2 linked regions of the Elephas maximus indicus genome follow. The protein of the gene in region 2 purifies or fractionates together with the protein of the main gene of each other region. This does not show direct contact. Links are inferred from orthologs where the notes say so. Each region holds a gene or a part of one and is shown on either strand. Other genes may lie near its edges. The genes, in order: IQGAP1 and S100B.

What was found.
Region 1: the proteins of S100B (region 2) and IQGAP1 purify together in Homo sapiens (co-immunoprecipitation; 3 studies listed by BioGRID and IntAct, with this or other methods). This does not show direct contact. The link is inferred for Elephas maximus indicus from reciprocal best matches to the Homo sapiens genes S100B and IQGAP1.

The regions. Positions count from the first base shown.
Region 1 is NC_064831.1:74,780,718-74,789,068, reverse strand, and holds the start of IQGAP1 (ras GTPase-activating-like protein IQGAP1), read right to left. Parts: upstream 3,224-8,351; 5' UTR 3,124-3,223; coding exon 3,069-3,123; intron 1,291-3,068; coding exon 1,191-1,290; intron 1-1,190. UniProt on the Homo sapiens protein: Plays a crucial role in regulating the dynamics and assembly of the actin cytoskeleton.
Region 2 is NC_064820.1:232,026,114-232,033,616, forward strand, and holds the start of S100B (protein S100-B), read right to left. Parts: upstream 3,127-7,503; 5' UTR 3,021-3,126; intron 343-3,020; 5' UTR 333-342; coding exon 195-332; intron 1-194. UniProt on the Homo sapiens protein: Small zinc- and- and calcium-binding protein that is highly expressed in astrocytes and constitutes one of the most abundant soluble proteins in brain.

The sequences.
Region 1 (8,351 bases), on a different chromosome or scaffold from region 2:
ATTAAGTCAGTAACAAAATGACAAATACTGTAAAGATTCCACTCGTATGAAATATCTAGAATTTGTCAAATGTATTTTATAGAGGCCAAAGTTTACTAGTAGCTACCAAGGATAGGAGGTAGGGGAAAAGAGGGAATCACTGCTTAGGGGTACTGAGTTTCTGCTAAAGGTGATGAAAAAATTTGGAAGCACATACTGGCGATGTTGCATAACACGACGTAATTAACATCAATGAATTATACATGTAAAAAGTGTTGAAATGGCAAATGTTTTGTTTACATACATTTACAATAAAGAAAACCATAATGAAACACCATTTTCCCCTTTAAAAAAAAAAAAAAGAAGAAAGGGAAATATCTAGAATGTTAACAGTTGTTAGTTCTGGGCAGTGAATACATGGATGTTTGTTGCATTGTTCTCCGAACTTTACTATAGTGTTTTAAAGTTCTCAAAATCAAAGAAGAAGCTCTTTGTTTACTAGACCGTTTGAAATATCCTTGATTTTCATTAAATTTTGATTGCAAATACCTTTCTTTATCCCTCTCTAGCCTTTTCCACCTAATCACTGATTTACAGAACATACGACCTGTAATTACATTTATCTGCCCTGGGACTTTACAAAGGAACACAAACACTAGACTGAAAGAAATGGGACCACCGATAGCAAAATAAATCAACACTCTAAGACCACAAGATTCTGAAGCATCTGAAAAAAGGAAAATAGCAGCTATAAATCCACTTCATAAAGAAAGCAAAGGACGCTGTCTCTGGTTAACTGTTTTTGAAAACTGGCAAGTGGATGAATTTATACCCACAGCACTCTGCGCCTCCCAAACCACACACCCACTCCACAAGCCAGTGAAGAATGAATGAGACATTAAAGGCAAGAACTTCAAACCCTAAAAATGCTGTTTTGCCCCCATAGCAGAGCATCCAAAACGTGTACCATAACCATATAAATCAGCATCAATCTGGAGATTTTTCAGTATACATAAATACCCATCAGTGTTTCATGATAAACTGCCATCAAGTCTACTTGCTCCCATGAATAAACACCCTACCTATACTTATTCCCTCAACTACCAGCCTCCCACAGTTACACCTACAACACACTCAAAGAGATCTTTATCTGCATCCACAACGTATCAGCTCCCTTCTCCCCACTGTCTCTCCAGCCAGCCAATCTTTACCTCTTTGCTTCTTCCAAATGACAAAGGTACTCATAAGCCACATTCTGGCGTCGCCTTTCATCCATCTCCTCTGCAGTAAGTCTCTCATTATCCAGGACAGCTAAAACATGAAAGACAGAATGTAAACACAGAGATCTGTAACCCTCCTGAGAGATAACAGAACGTCACAGCATCAAATTCCTGCTAGTCACCTAGAAGGCCAGGGCAACCGGCGGATGTGTGGATAATGAGGTACTACAATGACTTTCATAAAACAAGAACTTTGGGGTTTCGATTATACCAATCTTACTCTTTCTCACAAAGTACAATAATATCAGCATGTACTAAATTTTACTGTGACCTTGAAAAATACTGGTGCTTGAGATTTGGGCCCAAGTTTGCCCAGATCTGGTTTTCTAAATGCAGATGTGATCATGTTCTTCTATTTCATTAATAACCAAAGCCAGTAGTTATTGAAAACTAAGTGGCAGCGGTATACTAAGCTTTTTACATGCATTTGTTCACTGAAGACACACAATAATCCTATGGTTATCACTCTTATTTTACAGTCGAGGAAACTGGGGCTGGGTGAGTTCAGCTCAGGGCTAGTAAGTGGTGGGGCCTGGAATGAAACTCAGAAATTCTGCCTCCAAAGCCTATGAGCATAACCTGGAAGCAATCTGCCTCCTGCATGGGCACCCCGGGTATAGAATGAATTCCTAACTCCTCGGCATGGCATTCAAGGCCTTTCCCAATCTGGCCCAACTACTTCTGGAAACTCATCTCCTTCCTCTCCCTGCCCTTCCTCCCACCACTGTGCACTCCACACCACTGAGTTCTCAACACGGCCTTCTATCTTCAACACCTTAGTTCCCGCTCTTCCTTCTTCATGTCATGTCTCTTGCCCCACTCTATCCTGTCAAACTTCTTCTCTACACAGTATACTTCAAGGCTCTGTTCAAATGTCACCACCTGTGTTCACACAGTTCCTAACCAAGTCTCTTCTCCTCACCCACATTACTGTTTATGCCCAGTTGACCTATCTCTTATCTTTATTACACCTTATCTTCATTAGGTTGTACACCTGTCTGATTAAAATGTTGTTGAAGGAAGGACCTGGTCTTACTCATCTTTAATTTCCATGTTTTAATTAACATGGTACAGTACCTCACACATAACTGATGAGTGAAATTATCCTTAAAAAAGAACATCATCCCCAGAATACAAAATAAAATTGAAAACCTCAAGAGCTCTAAAAGGATCCCTCCTTTGGCCAGGGGTAACTATCCCATCTGCAGTTCAACGATGTCCCAAAAACAGACACAAAAAAGGAGATTCAGAAAATGAGGAAGTCGGAAGGCTTTTTTTTATTTTACTTTTGAAATCCTGACGAGGGAACTAAGCCCGAAGAACTGAAGTGACTCGTCCAAAGCTGCACCTCACAGCGGGCAGGCCTGAACCCCGGGTCTACCCCGCAGCCTCTCGGGGAACGCGTCCAACGGGGAGGCACCTTCCCACGAGGCCCGAGCGGAGCCCGCGTCGCCGGTGCCCGGGACACGCCCTGCATCGTCCTCCTGCCACCTCACCCTAGGCCGTCTCCCCAATCTCGGCCGCGGCGGGCGGCGGAGGCGATGGGTGCGGCCCCTCGGACCGCAGAGCCCGGGCTAAGGAGGGGAGGCCTCCGGGGTCTTCCCTGCCGCCTCCGAGCCCGAGCGGGACCCGGGCCGGGGGCCTCGCCGCCCCGCCCGCCCGCCCGCAGCCCCACCGGACCAGCTCTTCCGGGTCCGCGCGGCCCGCACCGCCCTGCCCCACCCTCCCCGCCGAGCCCCCGGGAACACTGCGCCTCGGAGGCAGCGAGCCCGGTCTTGGTGTTCCCGCACCGCGGAGCCCCACACTCACAGCCATAGTGCGGCCGGGCCACGCCCAGCCCGTCAACTTCGTCCGTGGCGGACATGGCGACCGAGCCCGGGTCTCTGCTGAGGAAGCGGTGAGACCTTCGAGGCGCGGCAGCGGCAGCTGTGAAGCCTGCAGTGCGCGGGCTGCCCGGGCTCTGTAGGCCCCGCCCACGCCTCTGGCCCCGCCCCCAGGCCGCGCCCTAGCGGCCCCGCCCTGCGGCGCGGACCCGAGCGGGAGAAAGAGGGCGGGGCCCGAGCAGCCCAGCCCCAGCCTCGTGCCCCGCCTCGTTCTTCCGGCCCCGCCCCGTGCCTCGCTCAGGCTGGAACCGGCGGAAGGAAGGAGGCGGAGTTGCTGGCCCAGTTCGCGCTCCTCACCCAGTGCCGCGGCCGCCGTTTGCTACGTCCGCAACTCTGACAAAAAGGCCGTGTTTGTCGGTGGCTAGAAATCTGGGTTTTTTTTTTTTTTAGAAATCAAAACGATGGGCTACCTTGCTTCCCCTCCCGGGTGAGCCACGCTCGTCTGCACAAAGGGCTTAATGAAGGCATGCTTTGAGGGGGCCCAAGGGGTTGTTGGAGCCTCTCCGCACAATCTGGCAATCTGGCCTCAAGCCTCTTCCAGATTCACCAGCGGTCATCGTATTAGAACAGCTCAGCCCTCCAAGTGTTTGAGATGTAGATGCTAAAGCAGAAGAACATATCTGCCCAAACACCTTTCCCCTGTAGTCCCTGGCAGTGTTCTTCCCTATTCTCTTTAATCCAAGGATTCTTTGCCCCTTTTAAGAGTGCCTCTTCCCCTGCCTGTTTCAAAAAGACACCTACTCCTCTTCAACATGGTTGGGTTCCAAAGACCAGGTCAGTATGTGAAAATCAGCATTATGCAAAAATAGAGGATGACTGCGTCATTACATAACTGCCAAATTACATCATTACATAACTTTCAAACCACAGAGAATCATGGCACAGCAAAGTTGACACAACCTTAACCATGAAAGCTAGCATCACTCGCGCCTCTCATCTCAGTTCATTACCACCAGGCTTCCTCTAACTTCAGAGGGACGAGGGGGATCATTATATGCAACAGCCCAAAGCTGATACCTATGAGGCAGAGGTCAAACATACTTTCACTCTCTCCAACCTTTTTACCAATTCTGACACCATCTGTACCTCCCACGGCACTCTACTTCCCTAAAAAATGGGTTCAATAATTAGTTGCAATGGCCACACAGAACTCACAGACCATACACAGTTATGGGGCTTATTAGGGAAGTAACAGGTACAATTCAGAATCAGGAAATAGGCAAGATACAGTTCTTCTATTGGGACAGCAGGTTCTCATTGGCACTCACATTCAGGCCTTTCCCTGGTCCTTGGCCCTTCAGGGCCTCTGCCCTACTCAGGCAAGTGTTACAAAGCTCTTTAGCTTTGTAATAAGTGCCTGGGGGTGGGGGGCAACCCCCTCTGAAAGGAAGCCTCAGCCCCGAAGGCACACAGCTCTGGCACTCCATGGGCATTGATTGTGTACCCAAGTAAAATGAAATCCTTGACAACTTCAAACTTTTCTCCATTTATCATGATGTTGCTTATTGATCCAGTTGTGAGGATTTTTGTTTTCTTTATACTGAAGGCTGTAGTCTTTGATCTTCATCAGCAAGCACTCCACGTTCTTTTCGCCTTCCGCAAGCAATAATGTGTCATCTGTATATTGCAGGTTATTTATGAGTCTTGCTCTAATCCTGAAGCCCAGCGTCTCAGATTATCTGCTCAACATACAGATTGAATAAGCATGGTGAAAGGATACAACCCTGATGCACATCTTACCTGACTTTTTAAACCACATAGTATCCCCTTGTTCTGTTCTCACTACTGCCTCTTGGTCTATGTAATGGTTTCACATAAACACAATTAAGAGTTCTGGAATTCCTATTCTTCTCAACTTTATCCATAATTTGTTATGATCCACACAGTCAAATGTCTTTGTATGATCAATAAAAACACAGGTAAATATCTTTCTGGTATTCTCCGCTTTCAGCCAAGACTGTCTGACATCAGAATGATATCCCTCATTCCACATCCTCTTCTGAATCCAGTTTGAATTTCTGGCAGTTCTTTGTTTATGTACTGCTACAACTGCTTTTGAATTATCTTCAGCAAAATTTTACTTTCCTATGATATTAGTGACATTGTCCAATAATTTCCACACTCTGTTACATCACCTTTTTTGGAATGGGCACAAATATGGATCTTTTCCAGCCGGTTCACCAGGTAGATGTCTTTCAAATTTTTTGGCATAGACAAATGAGCTCCTCTAGCACTGCCTCTGTTTGTTGAAACATCTCAGTTGGTATTCTGTCAATTCCTACAACCTTGTTTTTCAACAATGCCTTCAGTGCAGCTTGGGCTTCTTTCAATACCATCAGTTCTTAATCTTATGCTACCTCCTGAAAGGGCTGAATGTCGACCAATTCTTTTTGGTACAGTGATTCTGTGTATTCCTTCCATCTTCTTTTGATGCTTCCTGTGTCATTTAATATTTTGCCCATAAAATCCTTCAATACTGTAACTCGAGGCTCAAATTTTTTCTTCAGTTCTTTCAGCTTGAGAAATGCCAAGTGTATTCTTCCCTTTTGCTTTTCAAACTCCAGGTCTTCACATGTTATTACAATACTTTACTTTGTCTTCTCAAGCCGCCCTTTGAAATCTTCTATTCAGCTCTTTTACTTCATCATTTCTTTCATTTGCTTTAGCTGCTCTATGTTCAAGAGCAAATTCAGAGTCTTTTTTGATATCCATTTTGGTCTTTTCTTTCTTATCTTTTTAATGACCTTTTGCTTTCTTCATGTATGATGGCCTTGATGTCATCCCACAACTCGTCTGGTCTTCATTCATTAATTTTCAACGTGCGAAATCTATTCTTGAGATGGTCTCTAAATTCAGCCAGGACATACTCAAAGTCGTATTTTGGTTCTTGTGAACTTGTTTTAATTTTCTTCAGCTTCAACTTGAACTTGCATTTTAGAAATTGATGGTCTGTTCCACAGTCGGCCCCTGGCCTTATTCTGACTGATGATATTGAGCTTCTCCCTTGTCTATTTTCACAGGTATAGTCAATTTGATTCCTGTGTATTCCATCTGGAGAAGTCCACGTGTATATCCGCCATTTATGTTGGTGAAAAAAGTTATTTGCAATGAATAAGCAGTTGGTCTTGCAAAATTCTATCATGGGATCTCCAGTGTCATTTCTATCACCAAGACCATATTTTCCAACTTCTTTGTTTCCAACTTTCACATTCCAATCACCAATAACTATGTATGCATCTTGATTGCAGAAGTTGGTAAAAATCTTCATCTTTGGCCTTAGCGTTTGGTGTGTAAATTTGAATAGTAGTCATATTAACTGATCTTCCTTGTAGGCATATGAATATTATTCTATCACTGTGTTGTACTTCAGGATAGATCTTGAAATGTTCTTTCTGATGATGAATGTGACACCGTTCCTCTTCAAGCTGTCATTCCCAGCATAGTAGGCCATATGCTTGTCCAATTCAAAATGGCCCATACCAGTCCATTTCATTTCACTAATGCCTAAGGTATCTTTAAGCTTCCCATTTCAATTTTGATGATTTCCAATTTTCCTACATCAATAATTTGTACATTCCATGTTCCAATTATTAATGGGTGTTTGCAGTTTTTCTTCTCGTTTTGAGTCGTGCCACATCAGCAAATGAAGGTCCTGAAAGCTTTACTCTATCCATGTCATTAAGGTCAACTCCACTTTGAGACGGCAACTCTTCCCAAGTTGTATTTTGAGTGTCTTCCAACCTGAAAGGGCTCATCTTCCAGCACTATATTCAGACAATGTTCTGCCACTATTCAAATGGTTTTCAGTGGTCAATTTTTTCAGAAGTAGACCTCCAGGCCCTTCTTCCTAGCCTGTCTTAGTCTGGAAGCTCTGCTGAAACCTGTCCACCTTTGAGGTTCTGGCTTTTGGTCATCAGAGGCTTCTTTAGTCTGTGAAATACCAGTGGCATAGCTTCCAACATTACAGTAATATGCAAGCCACCGCAGTATGACAAACTGAAGACCAGAGGCAGACTTTCATTATTGGAGTGAATATTTAGGGGAACTCCTAAAATCCCTAAAGGACATTGACCCCACATTCTCCAACCAACTAAGCAGAGCAATGTCTGAGCATATAGCTCATCACTAGGGTTAGGCTTTCTCTCATGGTGCTGTAATTGGATCCTCCACATAAAAATACATATCCATGGGGACCACAGATCATCCCATTTTCAGTATAATTATCTGGGGAAGGAATAGTTCTCTTAGCCAGCTCAAATCAACTTTCAGTAAGACAATTTTCACAAATGAATAACTGTCCTAATTTCACTGTGCTCCAGAACTTAATACAAAGAGGGGACAGATTATTAGGATCTGTCTGGCTTCCATTTAGACAATATGGCAACTGATTCACATGCAGAGGCAATGTATTGAAATAACTAGGGAAATTAGCAGTTTGGCAGTACTGTAGTAATCTCCTAAAACTGTGATAGAGACCAGATAAATATTTCTGTCTAGAACAATTCAGTCTCCATCCTACAGCATGGGTTAGATTGAAACATGCTGCCTGAGGTTGAGCCAACAATCCAAGGAGATACCATAATCTGACATGTATGACTCGTTTAAAGGTAACACTAAGATTAATAACTGTTTCAGGTGCAAGACTAAAATTTGATATTGGAGACACTACTGGATCTGAATTTTCACATCCTGATCATGGATTGGGATGACAGATCCAACATTCAGTCAAATCACTGGGACTTACTACTGATTGGGCCAACTTAACAGAAGTATTTTCATCCCAACCCTCAGATGGAATTACTATGAAGAAAAGAACAAAGCTTAAACAGCAAAGTCCACAAAATTCAGCAACGTGCATGTCATCTTGTTTCGTGATCTTGGGACTAGCTGTCTACATCAGATGTCATCTGCTTCTAGCCATCAGAGCATCTCAAGGTAATCTTGAGTTCTCCAGAGGGCTGGCTAATCCACTGAGGTGTTTTGACTTTCTTTAATTGTGACAAATGGATCCAAAGTTTGACTCTCTCTGGTTTGGCAGCACACAATTTGGTGAGGAGAACCAGATATGGCCCCTTCCAAAGGGGCTCCAAGGAGTCCTTCAGTTGATGTCTCTTCCAATATACATACTCTCCTGGAGCAATATTGGGAAGGTTTTGAGGTTCTGGCTTTTGGTCATCAAAGGCTTCTTTAATCTGTGAAAAATAAAGTA
Region 2 (7,503 bases):
CATTGTGGTCGAGTTGATTTTGACTCACAGCGACCCTACGGGACAGAGTAAAACTGCCCACAGGGTGTCCAATGAGCCTGATGGATTCGAACTGCCAGGGTTTTGGTTAGCACCTGTAGCTCTTAACCACTACGCCACCACGGTTCCCAAAAAGGAAGATGGATAAACTGTTGATTTCACAAAGGAATACTCACCTCTAAAAAATGGGAAAGCTCATTGTTGATGAGCTCCTTGAGTTCAGACTTCTTTAGCTTGTGCTTGTCACCTTCCTTTCCAGAATATTGATGGAAAACATCAATGAGGGACACCATAGCCTTCTCCAGCTCAGACATCCTACAGGTTCTACAAGGGAAAGATGTCTTCTCATGTGCTGTGTTTTGTTTGGACATAAAACATTTAACGTAATGTCTGCAGATACCTCTATCCAGGGTCACACACATTTTATCTAAGAATAAATTTGACAAGAAAAGTGCAGGCCCTTCCAAAAGATTCTAAGGAACATAAATATAGAACCTTGTTTTCCCCTGAATTAATATAAAAATTAAACTCATTTTTAATAAAGATCTTAATGCAATTTTTTATAGGTGAGCAACATGACAAAAAACAGTTGTCAAATCCATCTGGAAAAATAAATATGGTAGAATTGCCACAATTTATTTTTTCTTAAAGAAGAATATCGAGAGGCACCCTGACCTACCAGAAACGAAAATGTATTATAAGTCTGAACGATTGAACTGGTGTGTCCTGACAGAGGCGTAGAGAGAATGCAGCTGGAGGCTGAGCCGCAGCCCAAGCATTTCGTTAGTATTCATGAAGGCGCCTATCCAAGTGAATGGGGAAATGGTGGGTTATTCAAGAAAGTGACTGGGACAAACCTTGGAAAGAAGTGTTTCTCTGTAGATACCAAAGCAAGAAGTTTCCTGCTTCCCTCATACCATGTACTTTATATCATGGCCAGTGAATTGAGAAATTATTTCCTCAATCCCAGCAGCATGGCACTCTTTACAAAGGGTGGCTGGTTCATTGTCTCACAAAACTGAGAAGCTCAGGCAGAGACGTTTACCCACTTTGGACCTTGAATTCTAATCATTAAATCAAGTAAAAACCTTTGCAGTGCTGTAACTAAAAATAAATTTCACTGTTGAAAAATCACTCCCATGTTGAATATATCATTTACATCTTAAAATAAAAGTTTAAAATCTTATTTATTTCTAATCTCCCAAAGGGAACATGATTGAGGTTATTTTTGTCTTCGCCTGATCTTCGCCAAAGCCACGCTATTAGTAACCAGGGTACTTTGCTTAAATCCCTAAGAATCAGGTATTTCATATATATAAGACAATTCAGATGAGTTAAAATCTCTAAGATTTCATACTTTCCCGTTCTTTGCCCTCAAGTTTTCAACTACTGATTTTTTTTTTTTTTTAAGAAACCTAGTAAACTTTTGCTGCATCCTGATGTTGCTTTAAGTCCATGATGATTTGGGGAAGAGAAGGTTCGATGATTTTCCTCTAAAGCATGAGTAATGGGTTTTTAAAAAAAAAGGCAAAAAACACATATTTCATATATGAACACCAATCCCGTTGCTGTCAAGTCGATTCCAACTTACAGCGACCCCATAGGGCAGAGTAGAACTGCCCCAAAGGATTCCCAAGGGGTGGCTGGTGGATTCGAACTGCTAACCTTTTGGTTAGCAGCCAAGCTGTTAACGACTGTGCCGCCAGAGCTCCATCATATATTATAAAATTATAGAACTCCATAAAATGTAGTTTTCTTCTTAACCTTACTGCAAATTCATTTTTTCTTCCCTGTGACTTAAGAAACGGTTGATGGTGTAAAGATTATCTTTTAAGAAAGTTGCAAGCAAATACCCATATTTCCTTCTCACTTCCCTTTGGGAAAGTTCTGCATTAATCTTTTTATTTTGGAAATGAGACTTCTGGAGCTTCCGCTGTTCAGGAAGACACACCTACACATCACATACACTCTGAGAGCCCACTCTAAAGGGCTCTACCTCTTTGAGGGATTGTAAGACTGAGGAAAGTTAAAACCCACCAAAAAAACCAAACCTGTTGCCGTCAAGTTGATTCCAACTCACAGCGACCCTATAGGACAGAGTAGAACTGCCCCATAGGGTTTCCGAGAAGCGCCTGGTGGATTCGAACTGCTGACCTTTTGGTTAGTAGCCATAGCTTTTCACAACTACGCCACCTGGGTTCCCTAAAACTCACCAGAAACCTAAGCTTTTTTTTTTTTTTCTTTTTGACCCAATTCGTTGTTTATTTGTGAAGACCTTCCCCAACTGTCATGGAATTTCTGAGTGGTGTCCAGCAGGACATGGACATTTCAAATCGAGGGAAATGAGAAAACCAGGAAGTAATAACTTATCCAGGACCATGGAAGAAGTAAAAAGGAGGATGAAAATAAAACATTTGTTTATGATACAAGGCTAAGCTGGTATTAGGTTCTAAACTGTTCTCAGCCCCAGACCCAATGCCCCAACTCATAGCGACCCTAAAGGACAGAGTAGAACTGCCCCATAGTTTTTTTAAGGCTGTAATCTTTATGAAAGCAGGCTGCCACATCTTTCTGCAGTGAAGTGGCTGGTGGATTCGAACCTCTGACCTTTCAGTTAGCAGCCAAGCACTTTAACCACTGCACAACTAGGGCTCCTATTCTGAGCCCCAGTGGGGAACAAAAAGTTAGAGAAGAGTTGGGGAAGAAGCATTTGTACCTCTGGGAAAACGTCAGCAATTGCTTCTAAGCCCTTAGACCTGAGGCTTCTCTGATTCGTGGTCACAGAAACAAGTAAAACGCACCTCTGGCTGTCTAGTGTGGACATCCTCAGGGGTCCACAAAGCAGTAATAAGATCAAAAATTAAGACTTAAGCATGCAGTGCTGTTGACACTTTTGAAATGCTGCCAGTTATCTTAAGGACGCCTTTTAGCCACTACCCAACCCCTAGCCCCATCCCTTTCCCCCTTCTCTCCAAAGACAGAAAAGAGCTGCCCTTCCTCACCTGCTTTGCTGTTTTGTGGTCTCTGGCTGCAGCAGCGGAGTGGCAGGAGTGGCAGACAGAAGCAGGCTCTTATTCCTTCCTCCCAGGCGGAGGGGGAGTGGACCCTGGTGCAGACGCACTGCAGGCAGTGGCAGCCAATGGGGGCCAAGGGCGGGGAGGCGGCTGGGGCAGACAGGCCGGCACACAGGGCTGCATTGACCAAGCGACCGCCCAGGGACTTGCTGGACAGCCAGGACTGCGCAGGGGCCAAGGGAAAGAAAGAGCCCTGTTGGGCAGGAAGCAGGAGTCAGCTTTTTGTGTTTTTTTTTTTTTTAATTACATGAATATTGATGTTCCTCTCAAAAGCAGTGTGGGGGTGGGGAAAAGAGAGCGAGATGGATTAATTAATTCAAACAAAGCAAATGTCCAGCCAAGAACAAGAAGCTTCCAAGTACAGGCGGAATGTAGGAGATTAAGCACACAGGCATCGCTCAATAAATGTTTGCTGAGTGAATGCCCGGCTTCTTTTATTTCCGTGGTGCGGACCGAACATCTAGCTAGCTAAAGCCAAAATAGATCCTTTTCCCAAAGACAAAAGCTCATTTTTAAGAGTTTTCTTATGATATGTCCACTATGGCCCATGATAAGTCATGATGAGTATATTTTCCATTTTTTTTTTTTTATTCTGCTATCGTTATCACTGGAAATCCTTAGATGAACCTCAACTGTCTTCCAGAGCCCTTCCCATAATGGTGAGGCCCATGGAGCCCCTCTCCCCTGTCTACAGCTTCCCCTGGTCTGGCCTCCACCTGGAGATGTGATGCCCTGTCAGGGCAGCGGGGGCTTCTCTGGCTGGAGCCAACACGGCTGCCTCCAGAAACTACTGAGTCCACTGTCAGCAAGGAGGGGGCTCCACCAAAACATGTGGTATAATGGATGCTTGATGCTTTTAGGGGAAAATCCTTGTTTATTATTGAAATATGTCCCCCCAAAAATCTGTGTATTAACTTGGCTAGGCCATGATTCCCAATATTCTGTGGTTGTCCTCCATTTTGTGATTGTAATTTTATGTCGAGAGGGTTAGGGTGGTATTATAACACCGCCCTTACTCAGATCCAGTGTAAAGGGAGTCTCCCTGGGGTGTGGCCTGCGCCACATTTTATCTCTCAAAAGATGAAAGGGAAGCAAGCAGAGGGTTAGGGACCTCATACCACCAAGAAAGCAGCACCAGGAGCACAGCGCATCCTTTGGACACGGGGTCCCTGTACCTGAGAAGCTCCTCAACCATGGGAATACTGAGGACAAGGACCTTCCTCTAGAGCCCACAGAGAGAGAAAGCCTTCCCCTGGAGCCAACGCCCTGCATTTGAACTTGTAACCTACTAGACTGTGAGAAAAAAATTTTTTCTTTGTTAAAGCCATCCACTTGTGGTATTTCTATTATGGCAGCACTAGAAGACTAAGATGTACCCCAAGCCTCTCCCTCCACTGTCAGAGGCTGTCATAGTTGGATACCCACCCAACCCGCTGCCTCAGAGTTGGATAGTACCTTAGAAATGTCCTGTCAGAGGGATCAAAATAGAGGATCCTGGACAGAGCTGGAGAAAAATGTGTAATAAAATTCTAACTCACACACATACACAAAAAAGACCAGACTTACTGGTCTGACACAGACTGGAGAAACACTGAGAGTATGGCCCCTAGACACCCTTTTAACTCAGCACTGAAGTCACTCCTGAGGTTCACCCGTCAGCCGAAGATTAGACAGGCCCATAAAACAAAATGAGACTAAATGGGCATACCAGCCCAGGGACAAGGTTGAGAAGGCAGGAGGGGACAGGAAAGCTGGTAATGGGGAACCCAAGGTCGAGAAGGGGGGAGTGTTGACATGTTGTCAGTTTGGCAACCAATGTCACAAAGCAATGTGTGTATTAACTGTTTAAAGTGAACTAGTTTGCTCTGCAAACCTTCATCTAAAATACAATAAAAAAAGAAACAGCCTGTCAAAACACTCTGCTTTCCAAGATGAGAAGTAATGATGGTCTGCCCCTTGCTGAAGGCCCCACCACACCAGTCACAGGGAAGAGAAATACAACCACCTACCCCCCCACCACACCTACAATCCTACTGCCCAGCTTTAACAGCACGCTACCTCAACCTGCAAACACAGAAATCCAGTTTGTGGGTTCTTGTCAAAAAGTAGGCATTTCTTTTGACAAATTATGCAAAGGTATTGCCCCAAAACTTATCAGGTATGTCCGTGGTCCCCATAGGATATCTGAACCAGAATCAGTGCTCTCCTTCTGTTTCTCATTCAGGTTCAAACTGGCCGTGAAGTACCAATGCACAAAGATGTCTGTGTACACAGTTGTTTTCTTGTCATTTATTTTAACCAGAAAATTCTTGACTATTCAACATCCATAAATGTGCCCTGGAAATAGCACAGAACTGTGAGTCATGGGGCTTGAGTTATCCCAACCCAGACCCCCACCCAATCTCCTACACTCCCATAGCATCGGTGTGTCACCTCTTGCATGCCAGGCACTGGAGCTGTGGGAATGGCCACCCTGCAAACCTTAACCACTTCCCCAGAACGGCAGCATAGACTCTGAGTTTACCATACAGTATACACATAAAATATTCAGCCTACTCCTGCAGGGGTTAAAGGAAAAATTGTGGAGTACACTCACCCAACTACTCCACACCTACTGTATGCAGGGTGTTGGGCTCAACTCTGGGGACCCAGGCAGGCCCGCCCTCTGGAGACAAGACACCACAACTTCTTGGGATAGCCAACAGCATTCGCCCTGTCCCAGGGTCTATAGGAGCAGACGAGGAGAAGGGGGAGAGGAAGCTCTTCAGAGAGGTAGGCACGTGGTGCTGGGGCAACCTGGCAGGAAGAGGAACTCCCACTTGGATGAGAAGGGCTCCCTAGTGCTATGGGCCCTCAGAGTGATTTCGCTCAGCCCCCACAGGAACACACAGACACAAGGCCTTTAGAAGAAGAGCATGGGGAAGGACATGAGAGCTTTCTTTGGTCACCATCCCATCCCTGTGCTGAACAGTACCCAAATCTACGGCCTCGCCAAGGTCCCACAGATTCATATAACTGCTAGGTTTGAATCTCAGCTATGCTACTTAACATTTGTGTGACTTTGGGCAAATTAATAAATCTTTCTGTAAAATGAAATGATCACTGTCCTGCCTCGCAGGGTGGTTTTATTGTAATTGGGTGAGAACTCCAATTGTAGCTGCTGTGCCGGATGATGTGTCTTTACTAGAGAAAGTCAGCATAGGACCTGGCGCTTGATATGCAGCTATTGATCTAACTAATGCCTTTTTCTCCACACATAATTGCTAAGATCGTCAGAGACAGTTTCTTTTACCTAGAAGGGCCAACAATATACCCTCACAGTGTTGCCTTGGGGACATGCTAGTTCTCTTGCTCTCTGCCATAGTATAGTGTCCAGAGATCTTGATCATCTCAATGTTTAACAAAGCATCACACTGATCCACTATATTCATGATAATATGCTGATTAGATCGATGAACAGGAAGTAGCAATTGCTGTAGGTGCTTTAGTAAGACATGAAAAATAGAGGATGGGAGATTAGCACATGAAAATTTAGGGGCCCACCACCTAGTGAAGTCTCTTGAGGGGGAGTTCAGCAGTCTGAGACATGCCAAGATATCTCCTCCAAGTGAAAGATAACTTGCTGCATCTTACACCACCTACCATGAAAAAGAACAACACTTAGTAGAGCTTTTGGGATTTTATGTACAACATATACTGCATTTGAGTTTGCTACTTCAACTCATAAGCCTGGCAGTTTCAAGTGGGAACCAGAGAAAGTTTAGGTTAGCACAGGTTGCTTTACCACTTGGTCCTTAGGATCCAGCAGATCCAGTGATATTCAAAGTGTTTGTGCTGCCTAGGGATGCAGTATGGATCCTCTGACAAGCACCAATAGGAGACTCACACTACAAGCCTCTAGGACTTTGGACCAAGTCTATGTTCTTTTTGGAAGTTAACTCTTCTCATTTTGAGAAAAAGTTTCTGGCTTGCTCTAGGGACTCAGTAGAGACAGAACATCTGACTGTGGTGCGTCAGGTGATTATACAGCCCAAAGATTGTCTGACTCACCTAGCCATAAGGTTGAGTGTGCATATCAGCAATCTATCATCAAATGTATATAAGAGACTGATTGTCATGGATTGAATAATGTCCCCCCAAAAAGTGTGCATCAACTTGGTTAGGACATGATTCCCAGTATTGAGTGATTGTCCTCCATCTTGTGATTGTAATTTTATGTTAAAAGGATTAAGGTGGGATTGTAATACCACCCTTAGTCAGCTTACCTACCTGATCCAATGTAAAGAGAGTTTCCCTGGGGTGTGGCCTGCACCACCTTTTATCTCTCAAGAGGTGAAAGGGAAGCAAGCAGAGAGCGGAGGACCTCATACCACCAAGAAAGCAGCACTGGGAGCAGAGAGCGTCCTTTGGA